Arabidopsis thaliana: one gene and its partner. The protein of the gene in region 1 interacts with the protein of each later gene in a pairwise test. Each region holds a gene or a part of one and is shown on either strand. Other genes may lie near its edges.

The links.
Region 2: the proteins of AT2G31730 (region 1) and AT1G03040 interact in binary tests that used the Arabidopsis thaliana proteins (3 or more experiments, as listed by UniProt).

Annotation. Positions count from the first base shown.
Region 1 is NC_003071.7:13,485,693-13,493,004, reverse strand, and holds AT2G31730 (basic helix-loop-helix (bHLH) DNA-binding superfamily protein), read left to right. Parts: upstream 1-3,325; 5' UTR 3,326-3,666; intron 3,667-4,313; exon of another isoform or gene 4,314-4,409; 5' UTR 4,410-4,411; coding exon 4,412-4,528; intron 4,529-4,637; coding exon 4,638-4,703; intron 4,704-4,780; coding exon 4,781-4,846; intron 4,847-4,932; coding exon 4,933-4,977; intron 4,978-5,054; coding exon 5,055-5,222; 3' UTR 5,223-5,455; downstream 5,456-7,312. Other genes in the region: AT2G31740 (S-adenosyl-L-methionine-dependent methyltransferases superfamily protein), read left to right, coding at 67-115, 337-586, 668-792, 885-965, 1,040-1,114, 1,222-1,388, 1,478-1,628, 1,749-1,952; AT2G31725 (FAM136A-like protein (DUF842)), read left to right, coding at 5,614-5,742, 6,164-6,301, 6,376-6,558; AT2G31720 (B3 domain protein (DUF313)), read left to right, coding at 7,030-7,312.
Region 2 is NC_003070.9:701,788-709,806, forward strand, and holds AT1G03040 (basic helix-loop-helix (bHLH) DNA-binding superfamily protein), read right to left. Parts: upstream 4,878-8,019; 5' UTR 4,671-4,877; coding exon 4,314-4,670; intron 3,870-4,313; coding exon 3,747-3,869; intron 3,581-3,746; coding exon 3,515-3,580; intron 3,343-3,514; coding exon 3,277-3,342; intron 2,882-3,276; coding exon 2,492-2,881; 3' UTR 2,062-2,491; downstream 1-2,061. Other genes in the region: AT1G03030 (P-loop containing nucleoside triphosphate hydrolases superfamily protein), read left to right, coding at 1-88, 189-232, 319-396, 489-681, 780-810, 892-950, 1,041-1,114, 1,225-1,311 and 3 more; AT1G03050 (ENTH/ANTH/VHS superfamily protein), read left to right, coding at 5,939-6,402, 6,517-6,722, 6,814-7,680, 7,811-8,019.

The DNA of each region.
Region 1 (7,312 bases):
CCTAACTCATTTTGTTTCCGCCATTATTGCTTGTTAATTAGTAGTTGAATTGAATTGGTGCTGTAGGTATATGATGGCAAGTGATGGGATAAAAAAGCGTGATACTGTCCACGAGGTATTATTACTAGATATACCCAATTAATCACTTAATAAAACTGTTATTTGTTGTCTCTTCTATTTCTCGCCTTTCACAAATATGATCATCGTTTCCTTTATTGATCTCCGTGATTAGACTTTTATCCACCACTATTTTAGCAAATTTTAATACTACTGATTGGTTAGAATACGTAGTTATGGGGATCTTTTTTGTTTCTTACTATTCATTTCGATTTGTAGGTTACATCTCCTATGACTGGGAAAGTGGTTGTTGAAGATGTGGTTTATGAAAGCGCTCCTAGTAATTTAGAAGACTTGTCTACTTCTAGTGATTTGGCATTTCGACGACTTGTATTCAAAAGGACTGAGGGTTTGATACAGTCTGAAGCTTTGCTTGTAGAGGATGGTGAGATTCTTGAACAGTCTCAGAAAGAAAAAACTAAAAATGTTTCCCAATCGAAGCGAAAGGGAAATAAAAAGCAAAACCAAGGTAAAAATCGTACTTCTGTAAGTGTTTTGATACATTTCAGGTGAAAAGTTTCATGATCTTTTTTACATGTATCCATTTCAGAACCGAGCAGGCCTCTTATGAGGGTCTCTCATGATTATCTGGCTAGCTCTTACCACACTGGAATTATTTCTGGATTCACATTGGTATCTTCCTACTTGAAGAAGGCTGAGTCATGCGGAACGATGGTGAGCATTATTAAGTTGTGGCCTCACGGTGCAACCGATCTGAATCTTTTCTTTGCCTTGTACTGATCCAGAAATGTTCTGATGCTTTTCAGGTTAAGACTGTTGTAATTGGTCTTGGAGCAGGATTACTTCCCATGTTCCTCCATGGATGCTTGCCATTTTTCAGTATTGAGGTAATTTCAGTTTAAAGGATTAATCAAGTTGAGTATTTTCTATTGCCACTCATATTCTGTATCCTGTTGAATAGGCGGTTGAGCTTGACCCAGTAATGCTTAGTGTTGGCAAGGATTACTTTGGTTTCACACAAAATGATCGCTTGAAGGTAAAATTCTCCCTCTTTACAACAAAAGTGCTGGCTAAACTTTAACATGTTTATATTCTATTCTATTATATGCACCATCACTCAGCTCGTTCGCATTCTTATAATAGGTGCATATTGCTGATGGGATCAAATTCATTAGAGATATAACAAACTCTGAAGCTTCGTCTGAGGAATCGTCAAACATTGGCTCAAATGGAGATTCAACCACTCACAATACACAAGGTGGAATTTGTCCTGACATTTTAATTATAGATGTGGATTCAGCAGATTCAAGGTAAAAGACATGGCAAGTAAATTCACATATCTATGAATTTACCCACATGGTAAGCCTGATTGTTTTCTTGTTTGATCTCTTGTCTGCAGCGGCGGATTAACCTGCCCTGCATCTGATTTTATCGAAGAGACATTTCTTCTTTCGGTTAAGCAAGCTCTCCCTCAGCACGGTCTTTTCATAGTGAATTTGGTCACGAGATCACAGTCCGTCAAAGATATGGTAGTATCAAGAATGAAAAAGGTAAAGCAAATGTGATTCATTCCTTGTAAATTCTCTGCATATTTTCACAAATCTGATCTGATACTATTGCACGGAAATTGAGTCATAGAATTGATCTCTATTGTTTTGTTTTTTGCCAAGGTTTTCGATCATTTATTTGGCCTGCAACTAGAAGAGGAAGATGACGTAAACGTAGTGCTCTTTGGGCTTTGCTCTGAATCTGTAATCAGCGAGAACGATATTCCAGAATCTGCAGTTATACTGGAGGGATTGCTCAAGTGCCAGAGATTGGAAACGAAGCAAAGCATCATAGACGCTACAAAGAAGCTGAAATGCTGGAAATAAAAACATTCTTTATTATTTCGTTTTAAAAAGACGTGTGAGATATATTTCTGTTATAAGTTAAGATTGAAATTTTTGAGACTATATTATATACAATACACCTAGTTTCGTCCATACGCAAATGGAAAATGAAGCGTGGAGTTTTTTTCATAACCTTTATGATTGTTAGACCTACCAACTTATTGAAGCATTCAATTTGGATGATAGTGAAGTTGGAATGTAAGTTAAACATCAATGTCTTGATTAATTTTGTGCATTTTTGGGAACTATCCGTATTGTTTCTGATTTGAGTGATCTTCCTTATTGTTGCTAAGAAATGCTCGAATGGTGATTAGCATAATTGCTGTTTATTCATTGGAGCTATAATAATTATGGTTGTAATATTGTAATTTGGGAAAGAAAGCCTTTGATACAGGCCGATTTTGGTACGTACGTAAGAGAGATATAAATTGAAACACCTAAACCAAAATCTGGTCGCCGCGAAGACAAAAGAAAAACATTTGTGGCAAAGAAACAAATTCAGAAACCGCGTGGGTCCGATATGGAACGCTGATCAATTGGACATTTGTAAACATTTCAAATATTTTGCATGTAATCAATATTGTTGTTATATTTTTTGCCTTTTAGTTATAGTTAGGTTTGTTTTTTCTGTTTGTTTGGTTAGATTCAACTATTTGTTTATGCTTTTCAATTTTGGGTTAGTATTTAGCTGTTTACTTTGGAGAAACAAAAGAAGATAGATTCTGTTCCATATAAACAAAAAGCTGTGTCGTTGAAACTTGAAAATGTGAATATACTCGGATATCAACCAAAGGGTACGCTGCATTAACCAACCTCCCTCGTAGAAAATTTCAAAGAAAGGATAACAAAACAAGAAAAAGCACAAAGTTGAAAAAGAAGTGACAGATGCAGAAGAATTGGTCAAAATCATTTTGACAAAACTACATAAAAAACAATCAAATGTCACTTTCAAAATTATTAGCTTATTTATTATTTTATTATGAAAATAATGAAAGCGACTTCTATCTGGGACTGGTAAAAGGACCTCTCTCACCATTGGTTGTACATTAGCTGTCAAATTTTTACATTTCCATTACATTCCCTAACTCCAAATATATACACTAAACTAAATTCTTCAAGTTACTTCCTAATTACTACTATAGTAATTATTTCCTAACCGTCAAATAGTACTGAATAACACATATAATATAGTTTCGATTGATTAAGAGATTTGAATTAAACAGAATAAAGTTTTACGATTATATATTCTAACAATTTATTTGTCTCACAAAAAAATCTATAGATTTAATGAGAATTAAATGAAGAGGACGAAAGGAAAAACAAAATGAAGAAAAAGACATATGAAACGTAGTCCCCTCTTTTCTTTGCTTTCTTCTCTACATAAAACTAAAACTCCTCTCTTTCACGACCCTTTAAGTAACGACGCCGTTTTCATCCAAACACAAACCTCTGGAATCGTGTCACCGTTGGAGCTCCGGCTTCATTAATGGCTTTCTTCAAGACCTGAAGACAAAAGAAAGTAAAAATATATATACACTAGAGAGACCAAGATCCTCGTTTATGGGTTTCATCGTGTCTTGTGCTTAGGGTGACATAAATACCCATTTAGAGAGCTTAGACCAAGAAGTTTTAGAGTTTGTGAAGTTACTTGTTGGTTAGTCTGCTGTTTCTGGCAAATGCTGAGTCTCTTCTCTCTGTAAGTTCTTTTTTCTTCATTTACTCTGTTTTGTTCCCCATTTTTGGTCTTTTTGACTTAACTTAGAGTATTTTAAGGCAAAATAAAATCATGAATCTTTTGGTATTTTTTGTTCTCATCTTCTTGTGGGGTTTTTCTATTGAAGTTTGCTTAGCTTTGAATCTTGTCTAATGGAGCTAACTCGATCCAAAATAAAAACACGTATAATGATTAACTAGTTCTGCTCATTAGATGAACTAAATTAATGAGTTAATTCCGTAGTTTCATGCATCCTACAATGTATTGTCTATGTATGGAAGCAAAGTATGATATCATATTTAAACATCTATGATTGTGCTACTAAACTTTAAATAATACTTTAAGCTGATGTGATCTTATATGGATAACCTCTGACCATTATCTACTTTCTTTGACCATTGCTCTTGTTTTCTAATCCAAAAGTCGTATCTTCCAATGCATTAGTTGGTCCAAACCTAGATTTGCATCCCTTAATTTGTAGTAGTTAACATCTAATTTTGATGTTAAAACCAAGACACCACTTTGTTTGTCTGGTCTGAGAATATCTCAAGGCGTATAGTTTTGTCCTTATGACGCTTGCAAAAGCAAGTTGTTGAGTTGTAATCTTATGTTTTTTTCTGCAACTTGCCTTGGATGAAGCCATGAGATTATCTTTATAAATGGTAGCAAGTAAACCGGTTTCTTATGTCGAAAAACCGATCATTTTTGTTTTGTTTGATGACAAGGAATGGAATACTCTAGAGACTCGGCAGAGATGATGATGGAGACTAAGCGCAATGTCTACTCGCTTGAAGATAACAAAATTAAACGACACAAGTCATCTGATCTCTCTTTCTCTTCCAAGGTCTTGTGATACATCAAAATCAAAATTCATTGTGGCTATGAAGCTACCGGACATTTCTGTACCAGCATGCTAATGATCTTGAAACTTTGTTGTTCTGTGGTTTAAACAGGAGAGGAAAGACAAATTAGCAGAACGTATTTCAGCTCTTCAACAACTAGTTTCCCCTTACGGAAAGGTACTACTTGGTCCGAAATAATCTTTCTTACACGCTCTTTGTCTTCTCTAGCCATGTTCAAGTCTCTATCTATGCAGACCGACACTGCATCAGTTCTTCTAGAGGGAATGCAATACATTCAGTTTCTTCAAGAACAAGTCAAGGTCTGCTCAAGTTTTCTAATCAAATACTTTTCATTCATTCACCTCCTCCAATCCAATGATGATTATGCTTGATTTTCTCTGTTCAGGTTCTAAGTGCTCCTTATCTGCAAGCAACCCCTTCTACTACAGAGGTGAGCTGAATCTATGATCTGGATCTCGTTTACTTGGATCACAATGCAAGACTGATATTTTCCATCTCTGTAACTAGGAGGAAGTGGAAGAGTACAGCTTAAGAAGTAAAGGGCTATGTCTTGTTCCATTGGAGTATACATCAGAAGTTGCTCAAACCAATGGTGCTGATATTTGGGCTCCTGTGAAGACTCCAACATCTTCTCATGCTTTTAATCTCTCGTCTTCTAATTCGCCCTTTCAATGAGCTGCTGCTAAATTCTCTGTCTCAAGACTAATGAAAATTAGCCAAAGCTTTGGTCTGATCATGTATTGATGGAGAGACCTTGAAGTCGGTGATGGCTGTTTCTGTTATTTTTTACTGCTTAATCCCAACTCTGTGGTGGCTTCTTGTAACAATTGATTCTAATGCGAAGTTTAACGGACCGGTCAATGACCGGAATTAGCTTCCTGTTTAATAAAGTTTGAATTGGTGAAAAAGAGTTAACCGGTTTAGAGAAACCCGGGAAACTTAACCCGACCCAAAATTGTCAAACCCGTTTTGTTTGCGGCTATTGAAGGATCTTCTATTGAAGAGAGCAGCTAGCTAAAACCCTAAAGCCCTAAAATCAAAATTACGCTAAACAGAGAAGGCGACAATGGATCACATCGCTGCGGCGGAAGAGCAAATCGTATCGGAGAGACTTCGAAGAAAGCTTGAAGAAGTTAATGTAGCTGCTCAGACTCAGCTTTCTCCTATCCAAGATCACATCAATTTCACCCTTCAGGTATATACAAAAATCTGTACTTTTCGCGAGCTCAGCATAAATTCTCTCTGATATAACAATTTAGCAATGTTAGCTTCTGAATATGGAATCTTTATTGGTTTGATACAATGCTAGTTTCAAATTTGATGAATTGAGTAGGTTCATGAAAAAAGTCTGAAAATTTGCATTTGGGTTCGTACTATATTCGTCTTTAGACACTATGGATTAGGTTCACGACAATTGCTCTGGTTTAATTACTATATTGTGCTCTGTAGGATATTCGATAAGTAGGCGTGTCTCGTTGCATAACAATTGCTCTGCTTTGTCTTCAGAAGCATGAGAGTTATTAACACCTTCTCTTGTGTTTTTGGGTTGCTATATTGAGTTATATGATCCGTTGATTCAAATTAATTAAACCCTGACAACGATATCATTGTTGCAGCAAGCTTATTTCAAATGTGCATATGAGTGCTTTGATAGAAGAAGAAAGCAAGAGGAGATAAGTAACTGCGTCGAGCACTGCAGTGTTCCCGTTGTCAAATCTCAACAGTATTTCGAGAACGAAATGGCTCAATTTCAGGTAAAGATATCTGCTAAAAGATGATACATAGTTTGCTGTGTATAAAGACTGATTTTTGTTGAATGAATGTATAGGAAAGATTGAACAGATCACTGGTGGTGTGTCAAGACAAGTTTGAGGCCTCAAAGCTCCAGAAGATAAGGCCTGAAGCGGTTAACGAGATGGAGAGTTGTGTGCACAAATCCATTGAGGAAAATCTCAATACATTACCACATATTGTGCAGAGAATGAAGACAGCATTTAACATAACCAACTAAAAGCTCTCGTGAAAAACCTTGGATTCCAGAACTTGACTAGCCATATTGTTTGAAAAGACCTTTTCTTTTGTCTTAATATGATCTACAAATTTGTTTTCCTTTTTCTTATATTAAGTTTTAAAATTTGCCACTGTTTTGGAATAACTGTATTTGCTTGTTCTTCATCTTCCCTAGCGAAAACTTTAAAACTCTATAAAAAAAAATTGAGGATAAATACATGAATTTAAAGATTGAACCGAACAAAAGAGACTAACCAATAGAATAGAAGCAAGTAATTTAGTGAATATCTAAAACTAATATAAAAATATATAGAGATTATCACTAACAAAAAAAAATAAAAAATAATAGAGAGTTATATATACCTTTGTTCGTTTGTGAAAGGAATTGACAATCAGAATCATATAAAAGCAAGACTATAAACTCCTCTCTGCCGCTTAACTCTTTCTTCTTGTCTCTCTATTTTTTATAACAATGGTGAGAGGAGATGATCAACTTAATGGTTTGCAGGGAGGGAAGAGAGCGTTAGATATTTTATGTGTAGCGACGGAGAGAACGGTTAGCGCTTTTGCATATGAGGAAATAGGAGAAACATCCACTGAAGGTGATAAAAGGAGGGAGAGACTGAGAAGACTGAGAAGATTAATTAATTACAGTCTGAGCACAACTATGAATTCCAGCTTGAGCAAACGACTGAAGATTGATGAGTGCAAGAATCAAGACCCGGAACAAAACCCTAATCGTGTTGCTTCTTCTC
Region 2 (8,019 bases), on another chromosome or scaffold:
CAGGGGATTCAAAGTTCACTTATGGGACCAATCTCTTGTTCCTCTTCATTTCAGCATTCGAAAACGAAAGAACACCCCTCGTTATTTGGTGGGTTTTCGAAATCAAACAATTTTAAATTCATATTGACTCTCTCTTCTGTTTGCTTAATCTCTTCTGTGTTCAACTTGAAATTAATCGACTCTTGCAGATTTCTTGCAGTCAGAAGAAAGATGTCACTGTTGTTGATGGAAGGTAAAATCTCATATGTGGTTTTGTTCACTTCTCTTCTCATTGCTTCTACCAAAGTATTGATGCATTCTTTTTTTGCTTCTTGGAAGTTGTATGGATGAGATCTATGATAAGTTGGCGGAACGTCTTGTCCCTACAGCAGCGGCAATGTTTAGCCCCAATCTTAAGTAAGTTTGCTACTCTTTAAATGTTGTTCTGTTCTGTTAGCTGCACCCGAGTTTTTAGATAACTCCTATGAATTGTGTGTTGACTCGTGTAGACGTTTGGTCGGTTTGGCTGGTCCTCCTGGTGCCGGGAAAAGTACAGTAGCAAATGAAGTTGTGCGTCGTGTAAATAAGCTATGGCCTCAGAAAGCTGCTTCTTTTGATGCTGAGGTTAATCCACCGGATGTTGCTATAGTACTTCCCATGGATGGTTTCCATTTGTATCGTTCGCAACTCGATGCTATGGAGGTTGAGCTCATAATATTTTGCTGAGTTATATTTCTCTTATTATGTCTCTTTCTCTTTGTTGTTTAAGAGGAATTCTGTATTTTGTTTTGTCACTCTAGGATCCCAAAGAAGCCCATGCGAGAAGAGGGGGTGAGATCTGTTATAATTGTCTTATTCAAAGATTTTTTCGAAATGTTCAAACTTGGTTTGACCCTTCTATCCACTAATCAGCTCCGTGGACTTTTGATCCTGCACTACTGCTTAACTGTTTAAAGAAGCTGAAAAACGAGGTAAAGAGGTGGTTACAAAATCTTGTTGACCTTAGGATCTTGAAGTTGGGAGACTTACAATAGACTCTGATTAGTTTTCAAGCTTTCCAGGGCTCAGTTTATGTGCCATCATTTGATCATGGAGTTGGGGATCCAGTTGAAGATGATATCTTTGTTAGCCTCCAGTAAGTAGTCAGTAGCTTCCTAAATCTGTCAAATCCGAATCTAGTGTAATATGAAATGGTTTTGTTTGCCTATTCCGGAGACAGTCAGCTAACTTATGTCCTCTTCTTAGGCATAAAGTGGTAATTGTAGAAGGAAACTACATCTTGTTAGAAGAAGGGTCTTGGAAAGACATCTCAGATATGTTTGATGAGAAATGGTAAAGACTAATCAAAAGTGTTTTTTCCTTTTCTCACTCACTCGTGGTATTTGAGTTCGGTTTTACCAATTGATGTCTTTCCATCTTCAATTCAAGGTTCATCGATGTGAATCTCGATACAGCAATGCAACGTGTTGAAAACCGGCATATCTCAACTGGTGTGTACAATTTCTCTTATTTCGATTCTTGAGAACCCGCAATGACCTCAGAGAATCTCGCTTTTGTTTAATCCGTTTTCCCTTTGTGAATTACAGGTAAACCCCCAGATGTTGCTAAATGGCGGGTAAAAGCTCTGGCTCTACTCTACTTAATATTCAGTTACATGGTTTCAATGGTTTGTTCAAGGTAGCTAGCTGCTTCTTTTTTTCAAATTTGGATGGCAGGTGGATTATAATGACCGACCCAACGCAGAGCTGATAATAAAGTCAAAGACAAACGCTGATCTACTGATCAGATCTATGAACATTTGAATCTACTTTCAAGGGGGCTATTGGACGAAACAGAATAAGATGAATAACAAAAGACAATGTTGCGCTTCAAGGGAAGATTGCCTTTGGTCTACAATGTCTTTTTCTTGCAACGGAAACTTCCAATAAGCAATTTGTTCGCAGTAAACTGTGTATGCTAGTGTTCTCTGCATACTCACGGATTTTGTTCAGACAATGTGTTTTATACTTCTAAATTAGAAGTTCTAATGCATAAAGTGTTTGAATGCGCGGGAAATTACCTAATTATAATCAGTCCAGCTCCCAACTATATCATTTTGAATAGTTAAATGGTCTATCCAAATTAGTGCAAGAAAAAAAAGAGAGGCAAAACCATAATATAATACCAACATTTGTTTTTTCTTCCTTTTTTACATAATTCAGAAACACGATCCCACACCTTCATTACTATTACTACAGCTAGCACTACCCTCAAAGCCCTTGGTCCTGAAAATCACACTAAAGTCTTTGAACAAAAAAGAGTTACTTTCATCAAAATGATAAATACTAGCCAAGCAAGCGAGAGCTTTTTCCTTCTTTTGACAGATCCCGTTTTACTTCTTTACTGCACAAATCCTACTTAGATTCCATCTCCAATGCCTTTTTACTTACCTTTCATGAGTCACAAAAGTCTAGTAGTGGGAAACAGAGCAAAATGTCAATCATCAGCTGGGGACCGTTGGATGAACAAAAATCTACGGTGGAGGATTCATCTCTGGTTTGACGATTGAAGAAGATGTGTCTGGTGGCTGAGAATGGTAAATCGCCATTGCCAATGAGATCGGCATTATGCAAAGAGCCTTTGATTGCAAAAGTTGCATCGCTGCTCCAACGTTTTCTTCCATCAGCTTAGCCACTTGCCTCTCTGTCCCATCGTTTGACCATTTCTCCCACACGGCCTGCGTCTCATCCTGAAGAAAGTTTTTACACCACAAGTCAGTGCAAGAAAAACCATTACCAAAGTTCTGTTCTTTTTTTAATGAAGTATCTCTCTCTAGTCTAACCTCAACTGATGAAGATAATGGCATTTCAGTGACTAGTGGTGCGACAGCACCGGCTCCACCAAGACGGCTCATGCTCAGGACCTGCCATAGTTGACCAGAGATAAAGCTTATGAAGGAAAAATATTATCAAAGCCCATCATTGCATAAAATATTCTTCAATGTTCTCATTAGCTTTATTACAATAGTCCTCAATTGTGATGATTCTCCATGGGAGGGAAGCAAGCAAAAAGTGAAAGACACTAATGCCAAAAAACACACAATCATGTACTCTTTGATTACTCTTTATTGCCAGATTAAACAATTATAATCTTTTATTAAGATTGGAAGTTTGGTTTAAGAGAGTAGGTGGTGGTGGGGACCAAGGATTTACACCACTAAATCCTTCTGGCTGTTTTAAATAATCTTTCTACAAACTTTTAATGATAGCATTTTCAAAAACCAGAGAATAGAAAACTGAAAATGACTTGGGTGTTTACCTTAACTTGGAGCCTGAGAAACTTTACATAATCGACAATCTCGTCGATCATAGCAGCCCTATCTGTCTGCAAAAGGAAAGCAAAAGAAACAGATGTGAATACCGCAGTTTCTATATGCCAATCACAAAACTTTTCTCTCATTGACAACTCTAGTTTTCTCCCTACTTTTAAAATCTCTTTCAAGCTCTCTTCGCGACATGAAAACAGTAGCTGAAGCTCTAGAGAAAAAGATACCAACCTTGTTAACGGTAGGTACAAGTTCCTGCAACGACCTGATCCGTTCTGCTATTCTTTCCCTTCGGAGCTGTTGCAAAGCAAATACATTCAGGTTAGGTCTTACCGTTCTTAGTAAGTAAGAACTAATCGAACTTTCTCAACCAAAAGCTATAATTAAAGCTTTGATCAAACATTATCACATAAAAATCGAAAAAAGAGACCAGAAGATAAAAAAAGTGTATCAAACATCTTACCCTCTCAGCGATGCTATGTGGATCGGTAGCTTGACCTCGCCTAGCCCTAACTCTAGGCCGAATAGTAGACTGTTGATGCGGCATTGGTGGAGCTGGCTGTGACATTGGCTGCCCATGGAAAATCTTCAACAAAACACAAAACAATGCCGTAATAACATTAAGAAAAGCTTAAAAACCGCTTCTCACAAGAACGGTCGCCACTAGAGTAGTTATAGCAACAATTCAAACTATGACGGAATTATCCACATGAGAAAAGAAACTAAAGAGCAAATTTTCTTACAATATAATTTGGACATAAAAGAACACTCTTTTATACTAAAGTTTCTTGCAAAACTAATTTTAGTGTTATGACTTTAAAACACATCAAAATCTTCAACTTGGGTTTCTTCAAAAACATCAAATCTCACCAATCTGAGCCAAAAACTCTCGGTAACTATCAAATTTAGACCTAAGCTGGGTTTTCTCAAAAACGACACCATTTTGAAACCCTAAAGATTTGAATTTCACTTTATTTTCTCGAGAACACAAAAGAAAAAGACAAAGTGAAGATTCTGAAGAGAAACTTACAGGTTTCATAGAGGAACATCGATTATCAAGAACATCGTCTTGGAAACGTTTACCAGTTTCATCAGGTTTAAGAAAGCCATGTCCTTTCCCTTGATCGAGACTTAATCCCAACGGAAACATCTGATTATGAAACCCTACAGGTCCACCTCCTCCAATGGCACCCATATGATTATGATTCCCTTCGTTGCCTGAACCAAGCTGAAGCATCATCGGAGGTGGACCCACGCCGCCGATTCCAGAGAGACCAGAACCTGAAGAACCGGAGAAGTTGGAAAGCCCGAGGATCTGCTCGAAGAAATCGTCGGTAGGAGATGGATCGGAGATGCTATCATGTGGGATGTTGTTGTTATTAGCCATGAAGGAAACGAGTAAAGGTTTGAAATTTTCGACTCAGTGGAGCTGGGTGAGTTAAAAGATAGCGAGTTAGAGAAGAGAAGTCGAAGAACAACTTTCCATGCGAAGAATCTTGTGTGGAGTTGTTAGGTGAGAGAATGATGATGCTTAAGCTAATGAGGACGAAGAGACACAGACGAGAAAGGATATGACAAAAAGACTCACTTTATGCTCTCTTTCATTTTATTTTTGTTAAAAGGACCTTACTTTGTGGTTTATTTTCGGTTTTGCCCTTGTTCTTATATACCTTCCAGAAACTTGAAGTGGGCTTTATTTGTTTTGAAGTGGGCTTTTTGTTTTGACTTTCTTCAATTTATTCATATCAAATTAAGAAAAAGGTCTTTTACCAAACTCTTTTTAGTAGAATGTTAAAAACCAATATAACTTTCTTTTTTTAAAATATATAAATGATATGGGAAAAATTCTACGCATTGTCGGGGTCGTCGTCATCTCGTTAGTGGTAGAAAATAAGATTTTTTTAAAAAAATCTGTCTTTGTCGTTTTTTCCGAAATTTAGCACTCATGGAGTAAAGTTTCTAATATCCAATATAAAAATGACACGTTTCATTTTGCCATATGGTATTACAACTTGCTTCTCCTTAGTGCTGAACCGTTGTCCGACTCGTTTTCCATTTTGAGAGACAAGGGTTTTTCTATTTTTCACAAAACAAAATTGTGGCATTTCTGAATATAATACGAGTAAAAAATATGTCAGCAGAAATGGGCTTGGATCGATTTTGATTTGTTGGATTCCATAATTCAATCTTGGGCTTCCAATCCATAAGAAAAAAGCTTGGTGTATTTTTTTTTACAAATTAGAAGAAAGTTTTTTCCTCTTTAATCAGTACTCTTCTCCTTACCCATTAATGGCAAATGCAAACTAAATTTCAGTTGACCCGTCAAACAATAAGTTAATTTTTTGCCACGTGGCCATATTTCTCACCGGACAAAGCCTCCAATAACCTCGGCGACTTTAGATGGTGAATAATCGACGAACAACAAAGAAACTACATTGACGAAACAAACAAACAAAAACATAGAAGAAGAAGAAGAAGAAACAAAACAAAACTAAACAAGAAACAGAGGAGAAAAAAGGAAACGACGAGGAAAAACAAAAACAAAATAAAAACAAGCCTCGTTCTTCCCTTTTCTCTCTTCAAATCTTTTCTTTTACATATTTTCTTTTCTTTTTTTTGTCTTTAATACAAATTTACTAACTAATCAGAATAAAAATGGGTTCGAGTAAGTTTAAACGAGCCATAGGAGCCGTAAAGGACCAAACCAGCGTCGGTCTAGCCAAAGTCAATGGTCGAAGCGCTTCTTTATCTGAACTTGACGTAGCCATCGTCAAAGCCACTCGTCACGAAGAGTTTCCAGCAGAAGAGAAATACATTAGAGAGATTCTTAGCCTAACTTCTTACTCACGCAGTTACATCAACGCTTGCGTTAGCACGCTTTCGAGACGCCTTAATAAAACCAAATGCTGGACCGTTGCCCTCAAAACCTTGATTTTGATCCAAAGGCTCTTAGGAGAAGGAGATCAAGCCTACGAGCAAGAGATCTTCTTCGCCACTCGCCGTGGAACAAGGCTTCTCAATATGTCTGATTTTAGGGATGTTTCGAGGTCTAATTCTTGGGACTACTCTGCGTTTGTCAGGACTTACGCATTGTACCTTGACGAAAGGCTTGATTTCAGGTAAGAGTTCTTGTGCTTGATCCAGGTTCCGATTCGGGATTTCAAGTTATTTATGTAATTTGAATGATATCTAAGATATGCGGTTTTTTTTTTTTTTTCATTGCAATTTTTGAGGATGCAAGCGAGACACGGGAAACGTGGAGTTTACTGCGTTGGAGGAGAAGCTGACGAAGAAGAACAGGATCAAGCTGCGGCAGATCTCTCCACGGCTATCGTGGTCAGGTCACAACCGATCGCCGAGATGAAAACAGAGCAGATTTTCATCAGAATCCAACATTTGCAGCAACTTCTTGACCGTTTCTTGGCTTGTCGCCCAACAGGTAATAACTTGCGTCTCAAGATTTCTTTCTCTGTGTGTGTTTGTTTCTTGGATAAAAATTTATATAAGGACCAATGTTATTTTGTTAACAGGTAATGCGAGGAACAACAGAGTTGTGATTGTGGCTCTGTATCCGATAGTGAAGGAGAGTTTTCAGATATATTACGATGTAACAGAGATAATGGGGATTTTGATTGAACGATTCATGGAGTTAGATATTCCTGATTCGATCAAGGTCTATGACATTTTCTGCCGGGTCTCGAAACAATTCGAAGAGCTCGATCAGTTCTACTCTTGGTGTAAGAACATGGGGATCGCACGGTCTTCTGAGTATCCAGAGATAGAGAAGATCACACAGAAGAAGCTTGATCTCATGGATGAGTTTATAAGAGACAAATCTGCTTTAGAACACACCAAGCAATCAAAATCTGTTAAATCTGAAGCCGATGAAGATGATGATGAAGCGAGAACAGAGGAAGTAAATGAAGAGCAAGAAGATATGAACGCAATAAAGGCCTTACCTGAACCTCCACCAAAAGAAGAAGATGACGTAAAACCTGAGGAAGAAGCAAAGGAAGAAGTGATCATAGAGAAGAAACAAGAAGAAATGGGTGATTTACTTGATCTTGGGAATACAAACGGCGGTGAAGCAGGACAAGCTGGAGATAGCTTAGCGTTGGCTTTATTTGACGGGCCATACGCAAGCGGTTCTGGTTCAGAGTCTGGTCCAGGATGGGAAGCGTTTAAGGATGATTCTGCGGATTGGGAAACAGCTTTGGTGCAAACAGCTACAAACTTGTCAGGACAAAAGTCAGAACTCGGAGGAGGCTTTGATATGTTGTTGCTTAACGGAATGTATCAGCACGGCGCTGTAAACGCTGCCGTGAAAACATCGACGGCTTATGGAGCCAGCGGAAGCGCGAGCAGTATGGCATTTGGTTCTGCAGGAAGACCAGCAGGTTTTAAACAAACATTACTTTGCTCTGTTCTTAAACTTCTTAGAATTTTTTGCTCTGTTTTTAGTTATAAATTTTGCTCTGTTTCAGTTTGCATTCTGATGATTTGACATGAATATTCTATTGATTACAGCAACTATGCTGGCACTTCCAGCACCATCAACGGCTAATGGAAACGCCGGAAACATTAACAGTCCGGTTCCCATGGATCCATTTGCAGCGTCATTGGAGGTTGCGCCGCCAGCATATGTGCAGATGAATGATATGGAGAAGAAACAGAGGATGTTGATGGAAGAACAGATGATGTGGGATCAATACTCTAGAGACGGAAGACAAGGACAT